7 linked regions of the Oryctolagus cuniculus genome follow. The protein of the gene in region 4 purifies or fractionates together with the protein of the main gene of each other region. This does not show direct contact. Links are inferred from orthologs where the notes say so. Each region holds a gene or a part of one and is shown on either strand. Other genes may lie near its edges. The genes, in order: SNRPD1, HNRNPR, DDX17, FUS, ZNF326, HNRNPUL1 and LARP1.

The links.
Region 1: the proteins of FUS (region 4) and SNRPD1 purify together in Homo sapiens (affinity purification with mass spectrometry; 3 studies listed by BioGRID and IntAct, with this or other methods). This does not show direct contact. The link is inferred for Oryctolagus cuniculus from reciprocal best matches to the Homo sapiens genes FUS and SNRPD1.
Region 2: the proteins of FUS (region 4) and HNRNPR purify together in Homo sapiens (affinity purification with mass spectrometry; 4 studies listed by BioGRID and IntAct, with this or other methods). This does not show direct contact. The link is inferred for Oryctolagus cuniculus from reciprocal best matches to the Homo sapiens genes FUS and HNRNPR.
Region 3: the proteins of FUS (region 4) and DDX17 purify together in Homo sapiens (affinity purification with mass spectrometry; 5 studies listed by BioGRID and IntAct, with this or other methods). This does not show direct contact. The link is inferred for Oryctolagus cuniculus from reciprocal best matches to the Homo sapiens genes FUS and DDX17.
Region 5: the proteins of FUS (region 4) and ZNF326 purify together in Homo sapiens (affinity purification with mass spectrometry; 3 studies listed by BioGRID and IntAct, with this or other methods). This does not show direct contact. The link is inferred for Oryctolagus cuniculus from reciprocal best matches to the Homo sapiens genes FUS and ZNF326.
Region 6: the proteins of FUS (region 4) and HNRNPUL1 purify together in Homo sapiens (affinity purification with mass spectrometry; 3 studies listed by BioGRID and IntAct, with this or other methods). This does not show direct contact. The link is inferred for Oryctolagus cuniculus from reciprocal best matches to the Homo sapiens genes FUS and HNRNPUL1.
Region 7: the proteins of FUS (region 4) and LARP1 purify together in Homo sapiens (affinity purification with mass spectrometry; 3 studies listed by BioGRID and IntAct, with this or other methods). This does not show direct contact. The link is inferred for Oryctolagus cuniculus from reciprocal best matches to the Homo sapiens genes FUS and LARP1.

The regions. Positions count from the first base shown.
Region 1 is NC_091441.1:56,034,661-56,038,660, forward strand, and holds the start of SNRPD1 (small nuclear ribonucleoprotein Sm D1), read right to left. Parts: upstream 2,801-4,000; 5' UTR 2,608-2,800; coding exon 2,594-2,607; intron 2,508-2,593; exon of another isoform or gene 2,334-2,507; intron 1-2,333. UniProt on the Homo sapiens protein: Plays a role in pre-mRNA splicing as a core component of the spliceosomal U1, U2, U4 and U5 small nuclear ribonucleoproteins (snRNPs), the building blocks of the spliceosome.
Region 2 is NC_091438.1:147,612,369-147,614,842, reverse strand, and holds the end of HNRNPR (heterogeneous nuclear ribonucleoprotein R), read right to left. Parts: intron 2,031-2,474; coding exon 1,909-2,030; intron 1,772-1,908; coding exon 1,159-1,771; 3' UTR 501-1,158; downstream 1-500. UniProt on the Homo sapiens protein: Component of ribonucleosomes, which are complexes of at least 20 other different heterogeneous nuclear ribonucleoproteins (hnRNP). hnRNP play an important role in processing of precursor mRNA in the nucleus.
Region 3 is NC_091442.1:115,130,814-115,134,313, forward strand, and holds part of DDX17 (probable ATP-dependent RNA helicase DDX17), read right to left. Parts: intron 1,104-3,500; coding exon 867-1,103; intron 226-866; coding exon 1-225. UniProt on the Homo sapiens protein: As an RNA helicase, unwinds RNA and alters RNA structures through ATP binding and hydrolysis.
Region 4 is NC_091450.1:6,013,781-6,017,854, forward strand, and holds the start of FUS (RNA-binding protein FUS), read right to left. Parts: upstream 2,801-4,074; 5' UTR 2,699-2,800; coding exon 2,686-2,698; intron 1,347-2,685; coding exon 1,322-1,346; intron 1,219-1,321; coding exon 1,064-1,218; intron 361-1,063; coding exon 216-360; intron 22-215; coding exon 1-21. UniProt on the Homo sapiens protein: DNA/RNA-binding protein that plays a role in various cellular processes such as transcription regulation, RNA splicing, RNA transport, DNA repair and damage response. Binds to ssRNA containing the consensus sequence 5'-AGGUAA-3'.
Region 5 is NC_091438.1:80,642,212-80,646,355, forward strand, and holds the start of ZNF326 (DBIRD complex subunit ZNF326), read right to left. Parts: upstream 2,801-4,144; 5' UTR 2,629-2,800; coding exon 2,613-2,628; intron 376-2,612; coding exon 331-375; intron 1-330. UniProt on the Homo sapiens protein: Core component of the DBIRD complex, a multiprotein complex that acts at the interface between core mRNP particles and RNA polymerase II (RNAPII) and integrates transcript elongation with the regulation of alternative splicing: the DBIRD complex affects local transcript elongation rates and alternative splicing of a large set of exons embedded in (A + T)-rich DNA regions.
Region 6 is NC_091449.1:13,324,115-13,327,614, reverse strand, and holds part of HNRNPUL1 (heterogeneous nuclear ribonucleoprotein U-like protein 1), read left to right. Parts: intron 1-100; coding exon 101-367; intron 368-1,881; coding exon 1,882-2,004; intron 2,005-2,088; coding exon 2,089-2,217; intron 2,218-3,500.
Region 7 is NC_091437.1:41,684,037-41,687,536, reverse strand, and holds part of LARP1 (la-related protein 1), read right to left. Parts: intron 3,492-3,500; coding exon 3,347-3,491; intron 1-3,346. UniProt on the Homo sapiens protein: RNA-binding protein that regulates the translation of specific target mRNA species downstream of the mTORC1 complex, in function of growth signals and nutrient availability.

The sequences.
Region 1 (4,000 bases), on a different chromosome or scaffold from region 4:
CCAGCAGACGCTCTGGGCTCCTGGCTTCAGCCTGACCCAGCCCTAGCTGTTGTGGTCAGTTGGGAAGTGAACCAGCGAATGAAGATCTCGCTCTCTTTCAAATAAATAAAAAATAAATCTTAAAAATATATATACATACGTATATGACAAAGGACTGGTATCCAGGATATACAGAATTGTAACAACCCAGTAATAAAAAGAAACCATCAAAATAAACAACAGATTCAAACATAACATCACAACAGATGTGCAAATAGCTAATAAGCATTAGTCATTAGAAAAATACAAACTAAAACTTAAGGAAACACTACCATATACCCACTAAAATCCATAAAATTAAGCAGATTGACAACAACAAATGCTGGTGAGGAAGTGGAGCAATTGGAAGTCTAACATATTGCTATTAGAAGTTTAAAATGGTACAAGCACTTTGAAAAATGGTAGGGCATTTCTTATGAAGTTAAACATATCCTTACCCTATGTAGAATTCTGCATGTCTGCTCCTAAGTATACCCTATGTAGGATTCTGCATGTCTACTCCTAAGTATTTACCCAAGAAAAATCAAAGCTATGTATACAGAGATTTGCATAAGGATGTTCAAAACAGCTTTAAACAAAACATATCATTTTAAAACATACAATTGGACTACTATCCTACAATTAAATTTTTTTTTTTAAATACTGGGGGTGGGCGGCACTCAGCAGGTTAACCCTTTACTTGGGACAGCTTCCTATATTCCGTAACAGAGTGCAGGTTGTTGTACCAGCTGCTCTACTTCTGATCCAGCTCTCTGCTAATGCACCTAGGAAAACAACCCAAGATGGCCAGAGTGTTTGGGGCCCCTGTCACCCACGTGTGAGACCCAGACAGAATCCCTGGCTCCTGGTTTCAGTTGGCCCAGCCTGGGCTGTTGTGGCACTTAGAAAGCGAATCAGCAGTTGGGAGGCACTTCTCTGTGTTGCTCTGCCTTGTTTTAAATAAACAAATCTTTAAAGTAACAAAAAGCAAAACTAAATGTTGATGAATCTCAGGAGCATGCTAAGAAATCTTAAGCAAACATAAAAAAGACATATAGTCTTTTTTTATTCCAAAGAATAAATTCTACTGCAGGCAAAACTACAGTGGAAGAAACACATTGCTTTGGTGGATGTGGAGCTAAAAGTTGACTTGAGATAGCTTAAGGGAACTTCTTGAGGTTTTGGTATTTTACCATGGCAGGGGTTTGGGTTACACTAGTGTATAATTTTTCCACTCTCAGGAAATACACACTGAACTTCACTTAAGAAAGTGAAGTTTGTCTCCCTGGTTTTGGCTAGGGTGACAGGATAAGGATGATAATGCCACCAACTGAGATGCAGAAATAAATACAATGAGCATACACAAACTAATTAGTCAAACCATTTTCTTGAGGCAAGACACAAGAGGGTTTGTATCTACCTAGTACCTAAGACACAGAACGGGATTCAGCACACTCGTTAAAAATTACAGGGAAATTCTGCTAGAACATGTGCTATTTTCAAATGAGACAAACTGAATCTTCAGTGACAAAAAAAAAAAAAAAAAAAAAAAAAAAAAATTCATTAAGATTCAAACGAGCAGGTATGGAGAAATATAAAAATACACTGAGTTCTGAGACTGTTATACAAAGTTATAATTCAAATAAGAATGAACATTCACATTAAATGTCTTCTCTACAAACTCCACCCATAAAGTATAACTGTATTTCAAACATACTAGATGTTAACCACTTATCTGTCTTCAGCACTAAACAAAAAGTTCCAAGGCAGGGATTCTTGCCTTTAAGAAAATTCTATTATCGGCACACAGTAACTGTAACAGGTGCCCCATAACTGGTCAGCACTGCCAGTCTCGACTTGGGAGGAAAGAAACTCGTCAAATACTTCCAACCGCTAGCTTAGTACCAGAAACCACCGCTGGGCTGCAGGCTCAGCCTCCATGTAAAGCACCAAAATCTAACCTATCTGCAAGCAGTTTGGAACTAATTACAAACATCAATAAACAATCCTTTAGTAGGCTCAACTAAGCAACACAATCGCAGAAAGGAAACCGGAGGAATTACCAGCTATGTGTAACCAGCCACAATCAAAAAGTATTGGCTTTTGCCTCATAGTGGGAGATTTTTCTGATCAAAAGTCTAGGGAGCATCGAGAGAGACCAAAAACTTTAAAATCACAACTTGCAAACTAGTTCCTCTCTGATCTAAAACATGCTGCAAGTAGGCTTCCTTATTTCCATGATAAACTCCGTCTTCAGACCCACGGGAGCTCCATGCGCACAATGAGAATGGGTAACTAACGCGAGACCAAGCCACCTTCAAGGCCCCCAAGGCAGCAGGTGACAAGACGCAGCTCGGTCTTCAAGCCCGCCTCTTGGAAGACAGGCGAGGCTGAAGAACGATCGATCACGACCCGGAGCCGCGGCCAAGATGGGGCGCGCGCGGCGGGCGCCGCAGGCCGTTAGCAGGCCGCGCGCACGCGGCTTTCCCGCCTCCGGCCTCGGGACCGCTCAGCTTCCCGAGCCCGGCCCGAACCCTTACGGCTCAGCCCCCGCCTCGCTCGGCCACCTCCTCACCTCACGAGCTTCATCGTAGCGGCGCAATCGTCCTTTCTGCTCGATAACGCAGAGAATGCAACTACCGAGGACCGGCTAGGCGTATGAATGGCCGGAAACGCCTACTCCACGGGCTCCGGACGTAGCGAGCGCGCGGAGCACTGTGGACGTGCGGCGGAAACGCCGAGGCCTTGCTGGGCCACTTTGCCTTCCGGCCAAGGGGAGCGCGACTGCGACCCCTCGCTGCCGGAGGTATGCATTGCAGAGGCTGAGGGCGTGACTGTCTGTCTAAGGAGAGGGCGATTTGAACAGTTAAATCCAATTAGCAGTCGCCATCACGCTTCGGCACGGCGGGGCGCGTTGGCGAAGCACCAAATACAACTTCCTCCGTGAACAAAGAGCGGTTTTGAGAGAAACACAGGTTATTGCGAATTCTGGTCCAACACCAAGAACCTTATTTAGCATTACTGATGAATCTGAAGAAAATTGCAGAATTATGTTTCCGAGACACAGTTGTCTGTTTTCCTCGTACTCAACGTCTCAGTAACATTCAACACACTTCAGTTTTGAAATACCTTCTACCTTTGTTTCCCGGGCCAAGCACTCTGGGTTTCTCCCTAACCCACTAGCTGTTCTGTCTAGGCCTCTGAGTCTTTACACGTGTCAGGATGCTTCAGGGCTTACAGCTGTAGTCCTTTTTAGGAAAACTTTCTCCTTTAGCCTGGGCGATCTCCTCCAAAACTATGGTTTTAATTTGTAAATCTAGATTGAACTTCATCCATGATCACCAGAACTCTAGGATGTTGTAAGGCAATGCTCATCAAACTTTAATGTGCACAGGACAGACCCAAGGAATTTTTTAAATAAAGATTTATTTATTTTGAAAATCAGAGTTAACAGAGAAAGAGGGAGAGTCAGAGATCTTCCAACCATACGTTTTTCCCCAAGTGGCTGCAGCAGCCAAGGCAGAGCCAGGCTGAAGCCAGGAGCCCAGAGCTTCCTCCAGGTCTCCTACAAGGGTGCAGAGGCCCAAGCACTTAGGCCCTCTTCCGCTGCTTTCCCAGGTGCCTTAGCAGGGAGCTGGATCAGAAGTGGAGCAAGCCGGGACTTGAACTGGCACCCATGTGGGATGCTGGTGTTGTAGAGGCGGCTTTACCCGCTATGTCGCACCACCAGCCCCATTGAGGAAATTTGAAGATGAAAATTCTGGTTCAGTTGTTGTAGGGCCTGAAATTCTGCATTTCCAGAAGCCTTCAGTTGAAGATTTCCCTAGTCCATGGATCACAACTTGAGTAGCAAAGCTATGAGGCATATTTGTGAGCAGTCCTCACAACCTCTTCTACTCCCCTTTCTTCTCGAGAGTTCTCAGTATTCTTCTGGAGACGCACGTGGTCCTCAGGAAGCTGACTCTACCCTTTATGTCAATGA
Region 2 (2,474 bases), on a different chromosome or scaffold from region 4:
AACTAAAGTGGTAGTCACAATCACATATGCTGAAACTGAGGTTCAGTCCACAGTGCATCTGGCCGCTACAGTACTAAGCATTTTCCCTGTATGTATGTTCACTTATCCAGCAAATAAGGTCTTCAGCCACAATTATCCATTATGATGAATGTGGGTCAAAATAAATTGCAGTCTGCTTCCCCAGCCCCATTTTATTCATTTAACACAAGTTATCCAATGCCTGCAAAAATGCTCAAAAGTCTTTGAACCTTTTTAAATAATGGATAAAATTTCAAAATTAATAGAAACTATGAGAGAACACCAATCAATGAAGTGCTACTTGGAATACTTGAATTTAGACTAAGCCTCAGTCTGACATCCACGATACATGTTGGAATAGACAAGAAATTTTGTGTGAATTTGATCACTCACATAGGCAGTTATACTTTGAAAACAATATTTCTTGCAAGGATTACAAATAAAATAATATTTTAGGACACAATTGAATTTGAAATAGGTAATGTTTTGAATAGATTTTTGAGTTTTATTGAAATCTTACATGAACAAGAAATTGGAAATACAATCACATCAAAGAACAAATTGTCACGGCTTTGACGTTTAAGCCAAACAAATTTTGTAGGGCAGATTTCAAAAAGGTGTGAAGTTATAACAATTTAAAAACACAGTTAACCTACTTCTAGGAATGCAAAACATACAATCATAGGTTATTTTCAATACAAGAAAACTTAAATTTGTTTGCTTTAATTTCTTAAAACTACTAAGACAAAGCACTAGCTTGTATTTTTATTTACAGCATACTCCGTACTCCTATGTAATCTATCCCAAATCCAAAAAAATGAAACTGTCCAAAACCAAAGGTTCTGCAAAAGCATGATTTAACAGCTTGTTTTGAAGCTAAAATGAAGCCTGAAACAATAAAAGCATTGTCACCCCCAGAATAAGGGAACTCTGCAAGCCCAATAATGTCCAAGAGCATTTATGAAAAGAGGAAAAATAAAAAGACTTGAGTATATACACAATAGTGATTTCTTCAGCCCAATACAAATGGCAGCAAACTGCTACTTAAAGATGAAACAGTTAAGCCAATTTTTTTTTTTTGAAGAATGTAGATCTAGAGCCAATCGTATCTTGCCATATCGTTTTCAAACCCTCACTTGTCTATTTCCACTGTTGCCCATAAGTATCCTGATAAAATTCCTGGTTGTCATTATTGTAACCATAGTTACCGGAATAGTCACCACCTTGCTGAAGCGGCTGCTGAGCGATGGGTTGGGAACCCCAGTTCTGTTGGTTGTTGGTCTGACGACGCTTGGAATCAGGTTGGTTGTACCCGTCTGCCTTTCTCTTGCCTCCTACATTGCCCCCACGATTGCCCCGAGCTCCACGGGAACCACGGCCTCTCTGCTGTTGTGCAGGACCCCCTCTGCCACCCCTAGAGCCTCGTGGTGGTCCCAAGGGTGCCCCCCTCTGTGAATAGCCAGCTCTACCTCTTGGAGGTGGTGCTCCCCGCCCCCTTGGTGGTGGTGGAGCACCTCGCCCTCCCCTTCCTCCTCCTCTTCCTCTTACTGCATAGCCATCATCATAGCCGTAGTAGGGATCTTCATAGCCTCCACGATAGTCGTGATAATCATAACCATAGTAATCGTCATAGTAATCTTCATAGCCATAGTAATCTGGAGGGTAGCCATATCCACCTCTCCCCCCACCACGACCTCGGCCTCTAATTGGAGGTGGCATTCGAGGAGGAGGGTGATAGTAATAATCTTCATACCTAGCAATGAAGGGAAGAGAGAAGAGAAAAATCAAATTAGCTTGCTTCAAGATTTTTCTTGATTTTATTTCATTCACCTGATTGCCATTATCCAATTACTCCTTGTTCAAAGACGTATCTACGAAAAGCAGACTCACGCGGTGCTTCTGGAGGCCTGTCTAGCAGCTTGGCGCTCTTTCCTTTTCTTGTCTGGTGGCTTGGCTAAAACTATTTCAATCTCCTCCCCTTCTATTTCTTTGCCATTCATTTCATCCATAGCCTATACAAAATTAGAAAAATGATTTTACAAATAAATTTTAAAATATAACATGTCATTTAATATACTTCTTTCAAGTTATTTGAAATTTTTACATATTTTCATTTTACATGAAAGAGAGAGAGAAAGATCTTCCATTGGTTGGTTCAGTGCCAAATGCCCATAATAACCAGGACTGGGTAAGACCACAGTCAGGTGCCTGGAACTCAACCTGATTCTCTCATGTGGCTATTCCCGATTATTGTTGGATACAGCCAGAAGGTGAAGTTCCCCTGAACCCTAACTGTTTTTATGTAAACTGCACCAAGAAAAAAACTGATGTCCTCCCACTGTATTTTTAAATTTTATTTTTATATATTTCAAAGAAGAGAGATAAATCTGCCATCCCATCTGTCGGCTCACTTCTCACATGCTGGAAACAGCTGGGGCTAGAGGCTAGGCCAGACT
Region 3 (3,500 bases), on a different chromosome or scaffold from region 4:
GACCATAGGTGTATTGGCCTGCTTGAGCTCCAAAGGCGGAATTTGGACTTCCATAGCCACTGCCATTAGCATAACCGGCTCTATCGGTTTCAGCACGATCTCGATAGCTTGCAGAGTCTCTCCGGCCACCATCCTTGACTCCTCGAAGCCGCCGGTCACACTCATCCTGATACATCAGGTTGGGATTGTTGGCTGAGGAAGTGGTCCGGTACCGAGAACGGCCTCCTGACGGAAGGACAGAAGGCAACTTTAAATTCAAGGAACGCGATCCAGCCACAGCTGTATCAACACGAGTGACTGCACGTTCCCTGGATCCCTGAAAGCAGCCTCTAACTGGTAACATCAGTAACATTCAACGATACCCAGCTTGGCACCCTTCCAACTTGGCACCCTTCTAGGGTCTCGACTACTTGAGGACGACCAACCAACACAATTTTGGGAGTTTCTGGGATTCTACTGTGTTTTGGGACAATCTGGAGATTCTACTGTATTTTAGAACTGTGTCGTCCCAACTGTCACATCTCACTCCATAAAGAGGACCAAAAACACTAGGTAAGTATTTTGAACGTATTAAAAAGCAATGGTAATTTAGCTTAATTTTTGAACATGCGCTATACATTTCAAAACTCAAAAGATGAGTTTCAGATTGTCATCTACAAAAATACTGTGCTGCAAAAATAGGACAATTACGACAAACTTTACATTTTCTTATTTAGCAGAGCTTATGGAAACTACTGAACACTGTCCTCTTGTCTTCACTAAACATCCACCTCAAAGCCTTCACAGTATTCAGAAAGACGAGACACAGCAACGTCAGGAGGAAAACACCTCGGCAGCGCCTGCAGAGCTCCAGGGCTCAGCCTTACCCCCTCCGCCGCCGCCGCCTCTGTGGTCCACCAGCTGCATCAGCTTGGGGTTGATGGCCTGATTGGCCTCCTCCAGCACCTTGATCAGCTCTCTGGCCTGCTTCAGGTTCCCTGGGGTGAAGAAGGTATACGCAGTGCCCTTGTTGGTGCTACGAGCCGTTCGGCCAATACGGTGCACATAGTCCTCTGAGCTGTTTGGATAGTCATAGTTGATCACAAACTTGACATCTTCCACATCTGCAGTCGGCGACGCGTCAGTGTGCAGGTGGATGTGGCAGGGAAAGAGAAGAGAAAGGACATGCCAACAACAGGTGGGAAGCACGAATGCAGATGACAGCAAGAGGAGAGAAGATCAAGTTAGTAACCGCTCTGAGCAGGAACAAAACAAGACTCATCCCAACAGAGTAAAAGAGGATTGATTAGTGGTTCCTGGGACATGCATGGGACACTATAAAAGCCGACGGAAACCCCGATCATTCAAACTCCAATCATTCAAACTCCTGCCTCTACTATGCGGCCAATATACTGACAGGAGCTACACCAGAACTGGTCTTTAACAAATTCCTTTTCGAAACTGGAATCGTAGAAGAGAGGCGTTAATTCGCAAAGCCAAATCACTTCTACTCTGTTGGGAGAAGCCTGGCAAACTCTACCAACACCACGACAAACTTACCTTCCAGCCAGTCACAGAGCAAAATGAGAAAAGGAGTTTCACAGACTCATTACTATGCTTTGCAGACTTAATCCAAACATTTACGTTAGGCTGATTCCTTTCTGCTCTTGCATCTTAAAACACTGATCACAGCCAAAGTCAAGTCTATACCGATTTTTCTTTTGCATAAATATTCTGATTATTTTTCTCTCGATTACCACAAGAACACATTACACTAAAATTTCACTCTACCAAGCCCAGCTTCTGCCAAATGAGTGTTTTGCTCAACTCAAGGTTATTTTAACCCAGTACTTGTTTCAATTATTGCAGATTGTCTATGTGACCTGGGAAATTATATAAATAGCCAAAGAATGTGGGAAAAACCATGAAACCTTGAGACAGTTTGATATTCTGTCCACTGCTGAGAATTGGGCTGAGTAACTTCCTAATGCTTACAGTATGTAAATGTTAGTGTAATGCTTTCAGCTAAATGTTTTTTAAACCTACTTAAACAACAAATTTAATATAACAAAGAATCCTAATGTTTTGTGGAAAAATCTGCATTTTACAAAGAATATTCAGAAAATATCCTAGATAAAACACAGATTTTTGTGATATAAGTAATTAAAAAACATTCTCTGTTTGTTACCAGACCGATGCACACTCCCTCCTCCTTTGGGAAACCGCTGCAGCCGATCCCGTCTCTTTGCCTTTTATTTTTGGCGGCCTCCTTTCGAAAACTCCGCCTTCTGACACGGGACCACTGGAGCGCGGGGAGCATGCATCAAGGGTCCGTGGCAGTGAGAAGTCCCCACACACGCTCGCTCTGTGAACTGGCTTAGATGCTTCTCTGTAGCCCCATTTGGTTGCCATGCGCCGGAGAACCTGGGTTCGGGTAAAAATTTCAGGTCCTCCAACGCCTCCCCCAAGGATAATTGGGGTGATTGTAGAAAAAAATAATTAATAAAAAAAAAGCAAGTTACATCCAAAGGGTCAGACCGCATCTATTGCCCAGACTGGATTAATTTCAGGGGGAAGGGGAGATGATTTTTTTTTTTTAAAAATCAGCTGTTGGTACAGGGCTTATGAAGAGGGGCATTATGTCTGTTTCTTATTACAATAAAGGCTCCTCAGTCTTTACTGACCCTTAAGTCCTGAATCACACCAGAAAGACGAGAAGGCACTTATCACAGGGGGCAGCGTGAGTCTCCGGCTCGGGTCGTTGATGCAACAATTAAAAAAATGTACAGGGCCAGGAAGGACGTTAAGACGGGGTGGGCGGGGAGGAGGGCTGGGGCAGGGCGGGGGTTATATCCGTGACCACATCTTCAGAGCTGGAGCAAGGCTCCCTAGTCAATCCCAGTGTGTGCGACCACGGAAAGCAGAGCAGGCTCAGCCCCTGCGCTGGACGCACAGAGGCGGGCTTTCCGGACGGGAAGCACTGGGCTCTGGGATCAACAGTTCAGACGCTAACACTTGGAGGGAGTTCTAGAGGGGTTCAGTGGGGGGCAGAGGCATGGTGCAAGTTCTTCACACTGGAAAGGCGTCCTGTGTGCACACGGCTGGCTGAGAGCACGTAAGAGCAAGCGCGGACCTTGGGCTTCCTCGAGTCAGGCCTGCCCTGATGTTACTTGTGCACTGCCACAATACCAGCTTGCCGCCTTTAGAGAAGATGCTGTAGCAGGGTAAGAAATGGACAAGTTCGTGCTTTGGCCAGCTGCCCAGGATAAGAAACTGCCCTGGGAAGTCCTACGACATGGCCTCTAACTCCAATCGCTAACTAGGAGGGACTGAGACCAGCCAACAGGCTCATCTAGAGCTACTTCGGCCCAATGTAGATTTGCCTCGGCCATGTACTGAGTGATCTGCAGCTGATATCAAAGCTTCTGTTAAAAAACAAAACAAAATAAATTCAATATTTTTAGCTTAACAGTGTGTAGTTTAAACAAAAAAAGAAAAAATCCCAGTGGAAAGGGATTCGT
Region 4 (4,074 bases):
CTCTGAGAACTGCCGCCGTAACTACGGGAAACACACAGGCAAATCAGAACCCCGGCATGCCCACAACTTCCTTTCACTTTCAGCACATCCCCTCCTCCCTACCAACACAGGCCTCCCTTCCCCCACCACACACTGCGCCTCCTAATGGCTCCTAGTGCTCTGCCTTCTTTCCTTAGCAATTCACCCCTCATCTTGCGGGCACACAAACACCTTACCTGCCGGAGGTGTTGCTGGGAGCTGGCTGCTGTCCATAGCCAGGGTACGAAGACTGCTGCCCATAGGATGATTGAGAACTCTGGCTGCTGCCATAGCCGCCAGTTGAGCCATACCCCTGGGGAGCTGACTGAGCGCCATAGCCTGCTACGAAGAAAAACAAAGCAAGGGAGTCACGAGAGCTATGAAGAAACAAAGGCATGGGAAGGGTTGAAAAAAAAAAAAAAAAAACATACTCTACCTATGTTCATCCATACCTCTTAGCAACTGCTAGTAAATCCTGCAACTCCCAGCCAGGGAAAGGACATTCTTCTGAACTCTAAGGTTAATGTTCTAACTCCTACTGACTTTTTAAAGACAGTTCCAATTTTATTCCACCTATCCTAAAGCCAGTCTCCAAGACTGGAATCTTATTCAAAATATCCCTCTGTGTCAACCACGTTTTAATATGCTGGTATGAGTACACCATACACAAGAAAACCCACATGAATTATTTTCACTTCAGAACTCGGGGGCAAATTCCTTCTCCTGGCGTATCCCGTGATGCCCAGTAATGGGACTTCAGACAAGAAGACCATTTTCTCCACTAAGAATCAGCCTAAGACTGGCACTCTCTTTAGGGAGTATGCCCTCATGCTTAGCAGGGAAACAGAGAAAAGGTACAGCATAAACAAAAAGTCAAAGGAAAAAAGGAAACGATTAAAAGCAAGGAAGGAAGCATTTTCACTGGAAAAGACTGCAGACTCCAAGAAGTTTTAGGGTTAAAGGGGAAAAAACATGAGAGATTCACCACTTCAGCACTGCTTAGGGTTTCAAGGCAGAGTGACCCCCCCGCCCAAGACAGACTCACTGTTCTGGGTCTGTCCGTAAGAAGAACCGTAGCTGCTCTGGCCATAGCCTGAAGTGTCTGCTGACTGCCCGTAGCTGCTGTAACTCTGCTGTCCGTAGGGCTGATTGCTCTGCTGGGAGTAGCCCTGCCCAGGCTGGGTGGGGTAGGCCCCGTAGCTGCAGGGGAAAAAGAAAAAAGAAGAAAAAGGGTGCAGTCAAGAAAATGACCTCAACCACCCTTGCCCGCTAGGAATTCTAGAAGCCCAGACACGGCACTCACCTTTGGGTTGCTTGCTGGGTATAGTCTGATGAAGAGAAAAGACAATCAACGTTAGGGTCAAGAAAGGGGTTGCCAGGTCTATTCCTTAACCCAAGAACTGGGGCATCGGAGCCAGGAAACCCACCAGCCTACTGCTGCCCTGCTGGCCACCAACGCCCCACCAGACTCTTTCTCAATGCAAACTCCACTCGCTTGAGGAACTGCTAGAAAACCTGTCCCATCCCTGTCCCGGTCACACCCACTCCATGACAAAGGCCACGGAGTTCCTAAGTGGGCACCAAAAAACAATAGCCATTCTCCGCCCCTTGGCCAATCTTGGGAGAAAAAGCAGAGGGGAGTCTTAAAGCAAAGCCAAGCAACCAAAAAGCAGAGGTCCTGTGACGCCAAACGACAAGGCCCCTCATCAATTCGATCAGTGCTCAAGTCCCCAGGCCTGGGGCTCCAACAGGCTCTCATCGACTCCTGCCGACTTCTCAGACAGGAGGAGCCGCCGCAACCCAAAAGGTACCGAAAAGCGCTTTTAGGACGTCACATTCGAGACGCAGCAGCGAGATCAACTCCTGCCCTCAGTCCAGGAACCCAGGCGCTTCCCGCCGCAGGAAACGGCAAAGGGATCGGGGAAGGGTGTGGCCTCGGACGCCCGTTCCCAATTCGGGGAAAAAGAAAATTTAGGCGGGAAAACCCTCGGACTCGGCCCCCGAGACCGTTGGCGGATCTCCCCGACGCCCCCCTCAACCGTTAGGCCGGGCGCGCGGCCCCGATCCCGAGCATCCGCCCCCGGCCGCGTGGCAACCGAGGCGGGAACGCGGCGGTCCCGCCCCTTCCCGTGGGACCCTGAGGGGCGAGGCCCACGCCGGAGGCGGGCCGCCGAGTCCGCTACCGAGGGTCTCGCGACAAAAAGCCGGCCTGACACGAGGCTGGGAAGGGAGGATCGGCGCCGCGAGCACGGGGGAGGGGCCCGCAAGGCGCGTGCGCGCACCGAGTGCCCGGATGCAGCACTGCGACAAAGCGGGCCCGAGCGCGGCGTGGAGGGGGTGGGGGGGCCCGGGAACCTGGGCATTTCCGCCCGCTACCACAGACTCGAACTCGCTGAAAAGCGTCCTCCCCCCACCTCATCCAAGGGAACGGAGGGAAGACTTCCCGCCCCGCACGAAACGCGCCAGAGGAGCAAAACAAAATGGCGACAACAGCCTCCCGCCCCCCCTTCCGCCCCTCTCCGCGGGCTTCCCGCCACAGGGGTTCGAAAATATCCTACACGCGATCGCCGCCCTGGCCCCACTGAAAAAAATCAAAAGCCCAGCTAGGAGAGAGCAAGCCAGGCCCTCCGGAGCGGCGCGCCACCGCTGCCTCGCGCCCTTACATACCGTTTGAGGCCATCTCCGCGCACGCGCGCACAGGCCGCCAAGCAACAAGATTCCGACACCTCGGAACACCGACGCCTAGAGGACTGAGCAGCCCCGCCTCCTGCGTCGAGGCTTATGTACGCCTCCCCGCCCACGTACCGCGGGGGGACGTACCAACCGCCGAAAACGAAGGGGGGAAGCAGGGCCGGACTCCTACCACCTTCCGGGGAGGGTCGAGGGTCCCAGCAGAAAGAAGGAAAAAAACTAACTAATACATATAAGAGAATATATATCATCATGTTTTCTCTGATCAATAGCTCACCTTCGCTCTGCAGGCCTAGCCTACGATTCTTCTCTACCCCTATAAGAGAGACATGGTACGGTCTGATTACGTTAGAGGCGGGGCCGAGGCCCCGGGCGTCTGCGGAAGGAACCGTAGTCAAGGCCGGGAGTCGAGGTGTGGGAACCGAGATTCCTCTGGTTGGCCCCTCTCGCCCGGGCCTCACTTTGACTCGGGATGGCGAGCCCCTCCTCCGCTGCCTTTCTGCCGCATAGGGCGCCACCCTCCTGTCTGCGAGCTGTAGCGTTGCTCCCTCAGCCATCGCAGCGACCCTCTCCTTCCCTGCGTCTCGGCTTTCGCTTCAGCGTCTTGAGGGTGCCTCTGCGTTAGTCCTCAGTGGGGTTTATAGATTGTGACATCTGACCGGAAAGCAAGCATGGAGTTGAGCCTGGATCTCTGGGCCCTCATGCAGCGCGGAGCGATCGGCAGAACCCTCGTGGCTCTGCCCCTGGAGGACCGTGGGGCGGGAAAGCCCGGGCCCCCCTCCGACCCCAGCTAGCCTTGCCGTTATCAGATTACGGGTCCCCCCTCCCCGCCCCTTTCCCGACGACGACCTACACTCTTCATTCTGAGCCCTTCCGCGGAACCCGCGTGGAGATACTGGGGATAATGCATTGGCATACGACTTCAGTAGTTTCATGCGCAGTTTTACATCCTTCTCATCAAAAACCGGTGAAGAAAGTAAAAAAGGCATCTCCATTGTAGAGACGAGAAAAGCGAAGCTCCTGGGAGAGCCTGCGCAATCCGTGTTTGTACAGGCAGCTGAGCGAGGGGCAGTGATTCGAATCCAGGTCCAGGTCACTACACCACTAGGTCTTTGTTGGTTACCTGAACTATTTATAGAATTTTGAAAGCCTGTTCCGTTTCCTGTGAGAATGAAGGCGGGGGGGGGGGGGGGGCAAAATTCAAATTAACTTGCACCTTGCACTCTGATCAGCTTTGCCTAGGGAGGGGGATTTGAATCTTTTCCAACAAATCAGACAAAGATTATTCCTGGTACATGTGCGACTGTAGATTTTCCTTCCCAACCAAACTTTGCTCTGGGTTCCAGACATTTCTTTGTAGATTGA
Region 5 (4,144 bases), on a different chromosome or scaffold from region 4:
GCTTCTAATTCAACAAAAAGAACTCAGCCAGTACTGGGTACTTCACCACTTAGAATGTTATTAGAGCCTTTGTAATAAATTTAAAAATCATAATTCAAATAAAATGGACAAAAAGTCTAATTAACAATGAAAACCCCTAACTTTTTCTGATCCCAAATTCAAATACTACATACATTATAGCAACAGTTAACAATGAAAAGTGATACATCAAGAGCCAAAACCATGACTGAAAAAGTAGAACTGACTTTTCACATTGGTGAGTCTGAAGAGAAAATCTGAAATGCACTGAATCCTCAAAAAATTTAATTGCAAATGAAAGAGGATACTTACCATTAAAGCCCTGATAAGTATTCCTGCAAGCAGAGTGTGTGTAATCTATGAAGACACAGTTAACAGAAAGGAATTAGTAAAATATTAGCAAACCTCCAAAATTATATATGCATCTATTTGAAACAAACACAATTTCTCAAATGTCATTAACTCAATTATCTGCAAAACTGAGGTACAAACAATTACCAATACTCCCTTTGGGAAAACACGCATCTCTTTTTCTTGACCACCCTCCCCAAAGGCAGGTTCATCTCATCATCCAATTACAGTAATGGAAAAATTAGTTCATAACACCTGATCCATAATAACAGTCAAAAGAGGGATCCAATACTGATTTACAGTACAGAACAAGAAGGAAAGCAGAGCGGCTAAAATTATGTATTAAAAACATGCAAAAAGCAGAGACATTTGAGAGGTGGTTTTATGTAATGTAATTTTTTTCAAAGTCAACACTTCTGCCATTTAATTCACTGTCTATAAAGATTTCAAGATCTAATCTGAGGAATGTATATGTATATCTGAGTGTGTGTTAAATCCATCCAAGATACGGCACCGTTGAAAACCATATTGCCAATTTCCCCATCAAACCAATTTAACAAAAGTTTAATCATTTAGTTAATTTTGCAAATAAATACTGAAAGAATGAAATTTAATACAGTACTCATTTGGATACAACAGAACCACACTACACTGTATAGATACACTGTTGGTCAAATTCCATTTCCCAAATAGAATTTGGTGACTGAGGATGGACAGCGCGGCAGGGAATATTTTATCACGGACACTGTTTAGAATTGTAGGCCTATGAGAATAGTAAGTTATTACTAAGTTTGATTCTTGTTTTTCAATTGCAGAATTTGTATTGGCTAATTGCGTTGGGGTGGGTGGAAAGGATTGTCCCCACCTACACCTGGCAGCCTCTGATTGCCCTTTGGGTGTTTGTACTATCAAACTGTAGCCTGAAAACACAGTAAATTTTTTTTTTATTTTCATCCCAAACTTTGATCACTTCAAACATTCAGAGTTGAAAGGTATTTATATCAAAATGAGTCAAAGTCCAACTAAAACAAACAAAAACCCCAGGTACTCTTACCAGCTGAACTTCCTATTTCAAAGTATCTACAAAAGGGCTAATGGGGGGGGGGGGCTTTCATATATCTTGATTCAGTAGCTTTTACTTTTGTAAAAATCAAAATTCAAAAGCTGCTTCATTCCTAAGCGGAGATCACACCTCATTCAATGTTAAGTATGGCTTGTTTTTTTGGTGGCATTAGAGGCTTTCAACTACTTAGCGAACTGGTTTTTATTTAGAAACGCCTGCCTGGTTCCCCCGGATTAAATCCAGTTTAACTACACAAGCCCTTTCCCTGGCCTCCCTACTTGCTGTCACTACATGCCATTTTTTTTTCCTCTCTCGACACCCATGTCGCTAAAAGTTGAGGACTTTTGAGGACATCGGAGGACAAGACGAAGCCCAGATTAATTTTTTGTGACCCTGTGAAAACGATCTGAAGAGCTGGGGGGGGGGGGGGGGGCTAAAAGGCACGGCTCCGACAGTTTATTTCGTCAGCAGGAACACAAGCGGCTGAGTACACGTCTGAAGGTGAAGGGCACGTGATGTTTGCTCGTGCCAGAATTCTAACTTAAACCGCATCCACACACAAGACCGAAAAAAATAAATAAATAAAAGTGCTCCGGTTCACAGAGCCTAATTCGAACGAGAATTAACAAGCCCAGTTTTCCAACCAGGAAATACCTGGCTTTCCACCGATCGTCTCTGAGGGACGCCCTCTAAACATCTTTTCTTAAAAACAACCGAAATCAGCACCGTGAACAAGCCTCGGAAAATGCTACCAGGCAGGAAGAGCACTGACTAAACGGACGGACGGGCCGGGTCGCCGCCCTGTGGGGCGAAGGCGACACGAGGGGGGTGGGGGTGGCGGCAGGCCCCATGCGTCCGTTTGCCTGAGCCGGGAAGTTGGGAGGCGTTAGGCGGTTTCCACGCACCGGGGCCTGGGCGAGGCCGCGGCCCGAGCCCCGGGGCCTGGAGCTCTGGGCGCGTCCTTCCCGGCACCGAGGCCCACACCCAGCTCCCAGGTTCTCCCGGCCGGGCCGATTCGAGGCGTGCGGGTCCCTCCAGAGGCCGCCTCAGGGCCCTGGGCCCGGCCTCCAGGCCCGCCAGAACAAAGCCCACACGGCCATCTTGAGACGGTAAACAGACCCCCGGCGCAGGCCTCCCGCCTCCCGCCCGCCGCGGAGACCTCTCAAGAGGCTGCGCTTACCGTCCTCGAAGTCCATGGCGGAGGCTCGGGGCGGACGGCCTCAGAGGCGCTAAGCTGAGCTCTGGCCGGCGGCAAGCGCCCGCGATCCGCGCGGTTCCTCACAACCAGTCCGCTCCACCGAGAGCGGCGCTACGGGCCGGAGAGCGCAGGCCACAGTGAGGCTGGGGGCAGGGCCGGGCGGTGCTGCCGGCCGCCGCAGCGCGGCCCGCGATTGGCTGGCGCGGGCTGGTGGGCGGGCCCTCGCGCGGGGGCGGGAAGCAGGGCCGCTGTCACGCTCTAGGATTTTGACCCCGTGGAGCCGCCGCGGGCACGGTGGGTAAAAAAGAGAGCGTCGGCGAGTGGCGGCGCCTGCGGGGAAGCGAGCTGAGTGTTCTGGAAGGGCGGACTGCGGCCCGCCATGTTTGAACCTGGCAAGAGCGAAAGGCTCTGGTTAGAGGCTCTTCCTCCTGCCCGAAACGAATGAAATCACGTGCCGACCTTTTGCTTTTTATTGGCTGGTGATGACTGCTCGGGAAAATGCTTGAGCGTGTAGGGAGACGCTGAAGTCTGGGACGGTCTTAGAACTCTGGGAATGAGGCAAAGCAGGCTCTCCGCTCTGAATTTGAAGGCGCTAGTAAGAAGCTGCACAAGGTCGCAGGCAAACGAACCTACTAGCATTCCATTATTTACACTTTTGAGTGGACAGTGGGCAGTGGGCGAAGTTATTCAACCACCCAACCATAGGGAAAGAGAAAACGGTTCTGATCACTCTGACCTTGGGGCAGCTGGAACCACGGGTTTAAGAAAATCCTCCCCCTCCCCACCACCCCACGTAAAGCAAATGGTGGCAACAGTGAGTTGACAGGAAACAGGAGTCAAGCTCCTTGCTCTTCTTCCGGGTTCAATCAGCTGCTGGAACCAAGTTCTAAGGAAATACACTGTAAGAAAACCTCCAGTTACACAGACACAGCGGGTGTCTGACGTAGCCAGAAATCCGGCCAGGCGTCGCTTCCTCCCCACCACTTTCCTTCTCCTCCCTAAATGATTCACCCTGCTCTCCACCCTTTGCTCATTTCCTTCTTCTCTCCACACTCCTCCCCCCGCCCCCGCCATATATGTTTTTCTATTCACCTGAGCTGATCATGTCGAAAACTCAATTCACCATTTTCCTCCTCAGACCTGCCCGGGCTCCTGTATGTATTTTTTCCTGTCTGTTTGGGGCAGGGTGAGCTAATCCCCCTAATCCTACTAATCCCAGCCAGCCCGCCTGCCAGTCATCAGTCGCTACTCAGCCCAGCCCTTCCTTCCACTCACTCCCAAGCCGTACCCAGGTCTTTCATCTGTTCATTACCCTCTAAAATTTCTTGAACCTGCCCCCTCCTCTCCATCCCCACTGCCACCAATTGAATGTACAGACTCGTTAGCTCTCCCCATAACTAGTGCTGCAACTTCCTAACTAATTTTTTTTTCTGCCCTTCAGTCTCGAGTTCTCAGCTGCAGTAACATAAATGCCAGTCTAAACTTGTCACGAGGCGTCTCTATCCTGGCTTAGA
Region 6 (3,500 bases), on a different chromosome or scaffold from region 4:
TTCCACTCCCTGCATCTCCTGCGTCAACTCTCTCCCACCTGTGGCTCCCAGGGCCTTGTGCTGAGAGTTGGCAAGTATTGTCATTGACTTTTTCTCCCAGGACTTTGAATGTGGAAACGATGTGGAACTTTCCTTCACCAAGAATGGGAAGTGGATGGGCATTGCCTTCCGAATCCAGAAGGAGGCCCTGGGGGGTCAGGCCCTGTATCCTCATGTCCTGGTGAAGAACTGTGCCGTGGAGTTCAACTTCGGACAGAGGGCAGAGCCCTACTGTTCTGTCCTCCCAGGATTCACCTTCATCCAGCACCTTCCCCTCAGCGAGCGGATCCGCGGCACCGTTGGACCAAAGAGCAAGGCAGAATGTGAGGTGAGCAGACTCAAGGCCGCACTGGCGTCCGCCTCCCACAGCCACCTAGCTGCTGAGGCAGAGGGGAACTAAATAGCCGGGTGTGGGGAAGGAGCATGCTCACTGCGAGAGTGACTGGGCCCAGTGGGCCCCTCAGCCCTTCGTGTGGAAGGGTGCTCTGAGTGGGAGATGGGTGGAGCTGCTGTGGCTTAGGCTAAAGAGGAAGGGGCTAATGTCATCTACCTGAGTCTTAGATTCCAAAAGGAGGGAGGGCTTTGCCTCAGCAGAAAGGACAGCAGGCGATTTCTGGGGGTGCACTCTGCCACCCAGGGTGTCTGAGAGCAGAAGACACAGGCGGGCTTTGGAGATGAGTAGGCTCCAGGAGCTGTCCTGGGGATCCTGGTTTTTTGTTTTCTGGGTTTTATTGTGTTTTGTTTTGTTTTCCAGATTTTTTTATTATTATTATTATTATTTGAAAGAGTTACAGAGAGGAAGAGAGACAGAGATCGTCCATCCACTGTTTCACTCACCAAATGGCCACAATGGCTGGGACTGGGCCAGGCCTAAGCCAGAAGCCGGGAGCTTCTTCTGGTTTCCTATGTGGCTGCAGGGGCTCAAGCACTTGGTCCATCCTCCACTGCTTTTCCAGGTGCATTAGCAGGGAGCTGGATTGGAAGTGGAGCAGCTTGGGTCTCAAACTGGTGCCCATATGGGTGCGAGCATCGCAGGCAGAAGCTCAACCTGCCATGCCACAACACCAGCCCTGATCTTTGTTATTAAATAGTGTTTGTTTTTTTTTTTTTTTTGTATGTGTGAGTTAAGTTTATTCTAGAAAATAGGAAAAAAAAATTTCCCCTCTCCACCACCACCTGCTCATCAGTTCACTTTGAAGAGTTTTGGTATTCTCTTTGGTATGCCGGGAGCCTGTTTCGGTGTACACATGTGACTGAGATCTTAGGGTATTAGGGTTGGAGCATTGTGACAGCCTGCCTTGCTCCCTCACTAGTGCTTGTGAGCTGTAGCCCACCACAGGAAAGCCCTGCTTTGCACATCATTTTTATTGACATCCTAAACTGCCTTCTCTTCTCCCTCCTTATGAGGCATTTAGTTTGCATCTAGAGTGTGCTGATTCTGAGTGTACTGATTAGGAGTGATCCTTGTTCGTGTGTGTACAGCTCGCTTCCTGTTTCTGACTGCAATAAGTTCGTACCACTTCTCATGCCCACTGTAGGGACCGGCCCTGGAGCACAGTCTTTCTGGGGCTTTTCCCTGTCGGAGTCCCTTTTCCTGCCTTGACCAAAATGTCAGTGCTGGTGATGACAGCTGTTGAGTTAGCACTCATCCCTCGCCAGGCCTTCGGCCAAGCATCTGACCAGCCTGACCCCTTTGAATCGCAGCTGCAGCACTGTGAGGCCGGTGCTGCTGCTGCTGCCTCCACTTTCCGGGGCAGCCATGAGATCAGAGTATTCTGTTGTCACCGCCAACAAAGGCAGTGCCAGTCCCCATGCAGCATCCCTTTGCATCTTGTGTTGTAGATTCTGATGATGGTGGGCCTACCTGCTGCTGGCAAGACCACTTGGGCCATCAAACATGCAGCCTCCAACCCTTCCAAGAAGTACAACATCCTGGGTACCAATGCCATCATGGATAAGATGCGGGTAAGGACAGCGCTCCGCACCTCCCACCTGCTCAGTGCTGCCCTGCAACTAGGACCACTCACTCCTCACCTCTCCCACCCTCAGGTGATGGGCCTGCGCCGACAGCGAAACTACGCTGGCCGCTGGGACGTCCTGATCCAGCAGGCCACCCAGTGCCTCAACCGCCTCATCCAGATCGCTGCCCGCAAGAAACGCAACTATATCCTAGACCAGGTGCTCACTGATGGCAGCATGTCCTGGGAGGGGGCGGGCCTCTTGGGTACCTAAAATTTCCCCTCCAGCCTTCTCCTTTCTCAGTGCTTTTCGGCTGTGGTGCTGGCCAGGGTTCAGCCATACACGAGGATGCAGTCTGGCCTCTGCCCAGCTCCCAGGCCCAGTCTGCCGGGTTTGGAGCTGCAACCAGGCCTGCTAGCTTTGGCTCAGCAGCAGCTCCAAAGGACATCATTAGGGGAGAGCCCTTTAATAGAATGGAAGAGGTGTGGATTTATGAACCTGGCAGGCTGCGGCTGAAATCCTGGCTGTGCTGTTTCCTCACTATGTACCCATGGCAGCCGACTTTACCCTATGGGTCTCAGTGTCCTGGTCTGTAAAGTGGAGGTCATAATGGCATGCAATACCCAGCAGGGCCTGGCACGCAGTAACTGGTGATTACGATTACTTCCTCTGCGAGTAGGCATTTCCCAGCTTCCTTCACCAAGTTTTTATGATTGACAGGTAAAAACCTAAGTCATGTATTTTTTCCTGACATTTCAGCTAACATCAAAGGATTTAAGAGCCTTTGAAATCGAACATGGAATACTTTGTTTTATATTGTATATGCACATGCACAGAGATACGTCTTTTTTAAAGAAACGAGACAGTTTTGAGTTAGAAAGATTGTCCATGGCTTTCAGCATTCTCAGAAGGATGAGTGACCCCAAAATGGTTAAGGATTCCTGTCTCAGAATAATGACTTCCACATGCTTGTTGCCTGTGCAACGTCACACTTGACATTTGTCCTGAAGCCATACTCAAGGAGCAGAGAGTGTTTCCTTATTTTCCATATTTGTGGATCTGTGAATAAGCCTTGGATTTATGATGCGTAAGAGTCTGTGAGTGGGCAAATACAGACTGCTGTTCACATCCTTGGTACAAGGGTGTGACACCCCATCCTGTGGCCTCACTGAAGTGTCTTCTGTGTGTATAGCCTGAGCTGCTGGGTCACAGGGTCTTGGTGAACAACCAGTGATGGTTGTTGGCTTGTCAGAGAGGAATCCCCAGGGACCAAGTTGCATTCACGGAATGTTGAGAATCCTGCACCACGTAACGAACACAGGCTAGCCCAAAAGCTTCTCGTGGTTATTCTGCCAGCTTGGCTGCACCAATAATGCATCACCCAACTTCCTCTCACTTGGAAGACTGGGTTTTTTTTTAAACCCTTGGCCTCACTTTGTCTCCTTGTGAGGGCATTTTAGAATTTTAATCTGACATGGCCCCAACTGGACCTCATGGTTCTG
Region 7 (3,500 bases), on a different chromosome or scaffold from region 4:
CACTATGCAACTAGTTAAGACCGGCTCCCAGATAAATGAAGCAAAAACAAAAAACACAACTGAAAACACATGTTTTGTAACGTCCATTTATCAAAGAAGGGGGAAGGATATGAATACACATAGGAATTTGTCTTTACTTTTTTTTTTTTTTTTTTTTTTTGACAGGCAGAGTGGATAGTAAGAGAGAGAGAGAGAGACAGAGAGAAAGGTCTTCCTTTGCCATTGGTTTACCCTCCAATGGCCGCCACGGCTGGTGCGCTGCGGCCAGCGCACCGCGCTGATCCGAAGGCAGGAGCCAGGTGCTTCTCCTGGTCTCCCATGGGGTGTAGGGCCCAAGCACTTGGGCCATCCTCCACTGCCTTCCCAGGCCACAGCAGAGAGCTGGCCTGGAAGAGGGGCAGCTGGGACAGAATCCTGCGTCCTGACCGGGACTAGAACCCGGTGTGCCAGAGCCACAGGTGGAGGATTAGCCTAGTGAGCCGCGGTGCCAGCCTTGTCTTTACTTTAAAATGAAAGAATTCATCATTGCTAATGGTGTGAAATACTCATTTAACTGTAGGAATTAAAAAAATTGGTTTTCAGTGGTAGCAGAGATAATGATGTCAGGGCACTGTTAGGCACAGTAGGCACAGTAGTTCCATCACTGCTGAAGACATCCATCTCTCTCTCTCTCTTTTTTTTTTTTTTTGACAGGCAGAGTGGACAGTGAGAGAGAGAGAGAGAGAGACAGGGAGAAAGGTCTTCCTTTTGCAGTTGGTTCACCCTCCAATGGCCGCTGCAGCCGCCGTGCTGCAGCCGGCGCACCGCGCTGATCCGAAGCCAGGAGCCAGGTGCTTCTCCTGGTCTCCCATGCGGGTGCAGGGCCCAAGGACTTGGGCCATCCTCCACTGCACTCCTGGGCCATAGCAGAGAGCTGGCCTGGAAGAGGGGCAACCAGGACAGAATCCGGCGCCCCGACCAGGACTAGAACCCGGTGTGCCGGCGCCGTAAGGCGGAGGATTAGCCTATTGAGCCACGGCGCTGGCCAATCCATATCTCTTTATCAGTAAATCTGGTTCAGACCCAGCTGCTACACTTCCAATACAGCTTACTGGTAAAGTGTATCCTGGGAGGCAGGAGATGACAGCTCAAGTACTTGGGTCCCCTGCCACCCAGGTGGAAAGACTGGATTGAGTTCTAGGCCCATCGGCCCAGCCCTGGCTATTGCATAAATTTGGGGAGTGAACCAGTGGAAGTGTCTCTTCCAAATAAAATGAAAAGAAATAAATAAAAATTTTTAGAAAGAGTGAACAACGTGTATATACTGTGGAATGAAACAAGTAATTATGCTGATGTTACTAGCAATTAAGATTTTTGGCGGGGGGGGGGGGGGGGAGGAATTAGATTCAAAGAAAGACCCAGTTTAAATAAAGATCCTATACTCCTGAACTTTATAAGAAAGTATAATCTCACAATCTTTTTACAAAAGATTTATTTGTAAGTCAGAGTTAAAGAGAGAAGGAGAGGTCTTTCATCCACTTGTTCACTCTCCAGGCGGCTGCCGACAGTGAGGGCTAAGCCAGGCTGAAGCCTGGACCTAGGAGCTTCTTCCGGGTCTCCCAAGTGGGTGGCAAGGGCCCAGGTACTTGTGCCATCTTCTGTTGCTTTCCTCAGCACATGAGTAGGGAGCTGGACTGAAGTGGAGCAGCTGGGACAGAAACTGGTGCCCATATGGGATGCCAGTGTTGCAGAGGGCAGCTTTAACTGCTATGCCACAATGCCAGCCCCAAAAATTACCTTCTAAAAACAATCAGCGAAGCAACAATGAGCAGCCCCTCTAACTGGGACTACAGTATTTAAATACCATTTTCTTTCAAAAAGCAATTAAAGTTCTTTTAAAAAGTGGCTAACTCCAAATCTGTGGCATAAAATGTACAAGATGAACTGGTCAAAAATCAGACAATTTGATCCAACATATTAACTGCAATGAACTGAAGTAAAAGTTTGAATCTATAATATTAAAATATTCAATAATTCCAAACAGACCAAACAAACAAACAAACAAAACAAAAAACTCCGAGGAAGTAATTAGGGATCAACTGACAATTCCGTAAACTGGCTAAGGAAAGGGAAAAGATCGAGCCATCTATCTGCCTCAGTAACTGCGTAGTCAATGAGGCAACGGTTCCCCTCAAAGCGAGATTCCAACCCTGGAGACCGACAGATTGAGACCACCACAGTGTTACCATTCCCAATGAAGTCATCAGAAATGATCACCAATATTAGCTTTGCTCACAAGAGAGATAAACAAAAGATATGTTACGTGCCATGAAAGAGAAAACATCATTCTTGATCTGTACTTAAAAAAAATATTAATTTATTTGGAAGAGTTAGAGAGAGAGACAGGGAGAGACAGACATAGAGATCAATCTTCCATCTGCTGTTCTATTCCCCAGAGGGCTGCAATAGCCAGGGCTGCGTCAAGCTGGAACCAGAAATTTCTCCCACGTCCCTCATGTTGGTAGCAGGAGCTCAAGCACTTGAGTCACCTTCCTCTGCTTTTCCCAGGCCATCAGCAGGGAGCTGCAGCAGAAGTCGAGCAGCCAGGACACATACCAGCACCCATATGGGACTCTGATGTCACAGGTGGCATCTTTAACTGCTATTCTACAAAATCCAGCACTCTTGGAACACTCTTGATAAGGGTGAAACAGCTCCCAAACTTCCATGTAATCAGTTCTCTAGGCTACCAATTTACAGAAACTTTGGAACATAGATGAACATGTTAACTAACATCACTGTGTCTTGAGGGATATTCTACAGGGTACACACCCCAGTTTACTCTAACAGTAAACCGCAAGAAAAATAAAGGGATGGAGGGAGGAGCTTAAAATGCAGAGGTCTTACTGGAGTCCTGAGCTTCACAAACTATGGTTAAGATTATTTTTGGACAACTTGGGTGAGTCTGAAACTGAGTGGGTATTTGGTGGTATTGATGAATTGTTAATACTCATGTTTTTAGGAGTGATGATATTGTGGTTACATTTTTCAGCAAGTCTTTATCTCGAAGAGATGAATACTGACACATTTGTGGATGAATATGAGGGGGAAATAGATGCAGGTATGATGGACTAAGACTGGCACTTGTTAAAGCTGGTGTTGGGCTCCTTAGTGCTATTCTGTCTACATTTTCTGTGAAAGCAGGAAGGAAGAAGGCAGGAAAGGACGGTAGCTAAACCTTGGGACTACAACACAAGTAATCAGATGAGGACCCTCCCAGGGATTTTTGCCCTGGCCTGCAACTCCAACTCCGTTAAGTAAGAACCTTTCTCTTCCCTGCACCCTTGTCCCAGGGAGGGAGACATACCGCAAAAATGAGTGAGATGTCAGTGGTGAGGGCCTGCACTCGGTGGAAGGAAGCAATAAGGGTGATAGGAAGGAAACCATCAGCATCCATTTTCCGTCGCAGGAAGAAGTCTCGCTCTAAATTGTCCACGCTGAAGTAGTATTCACTAAGTGGA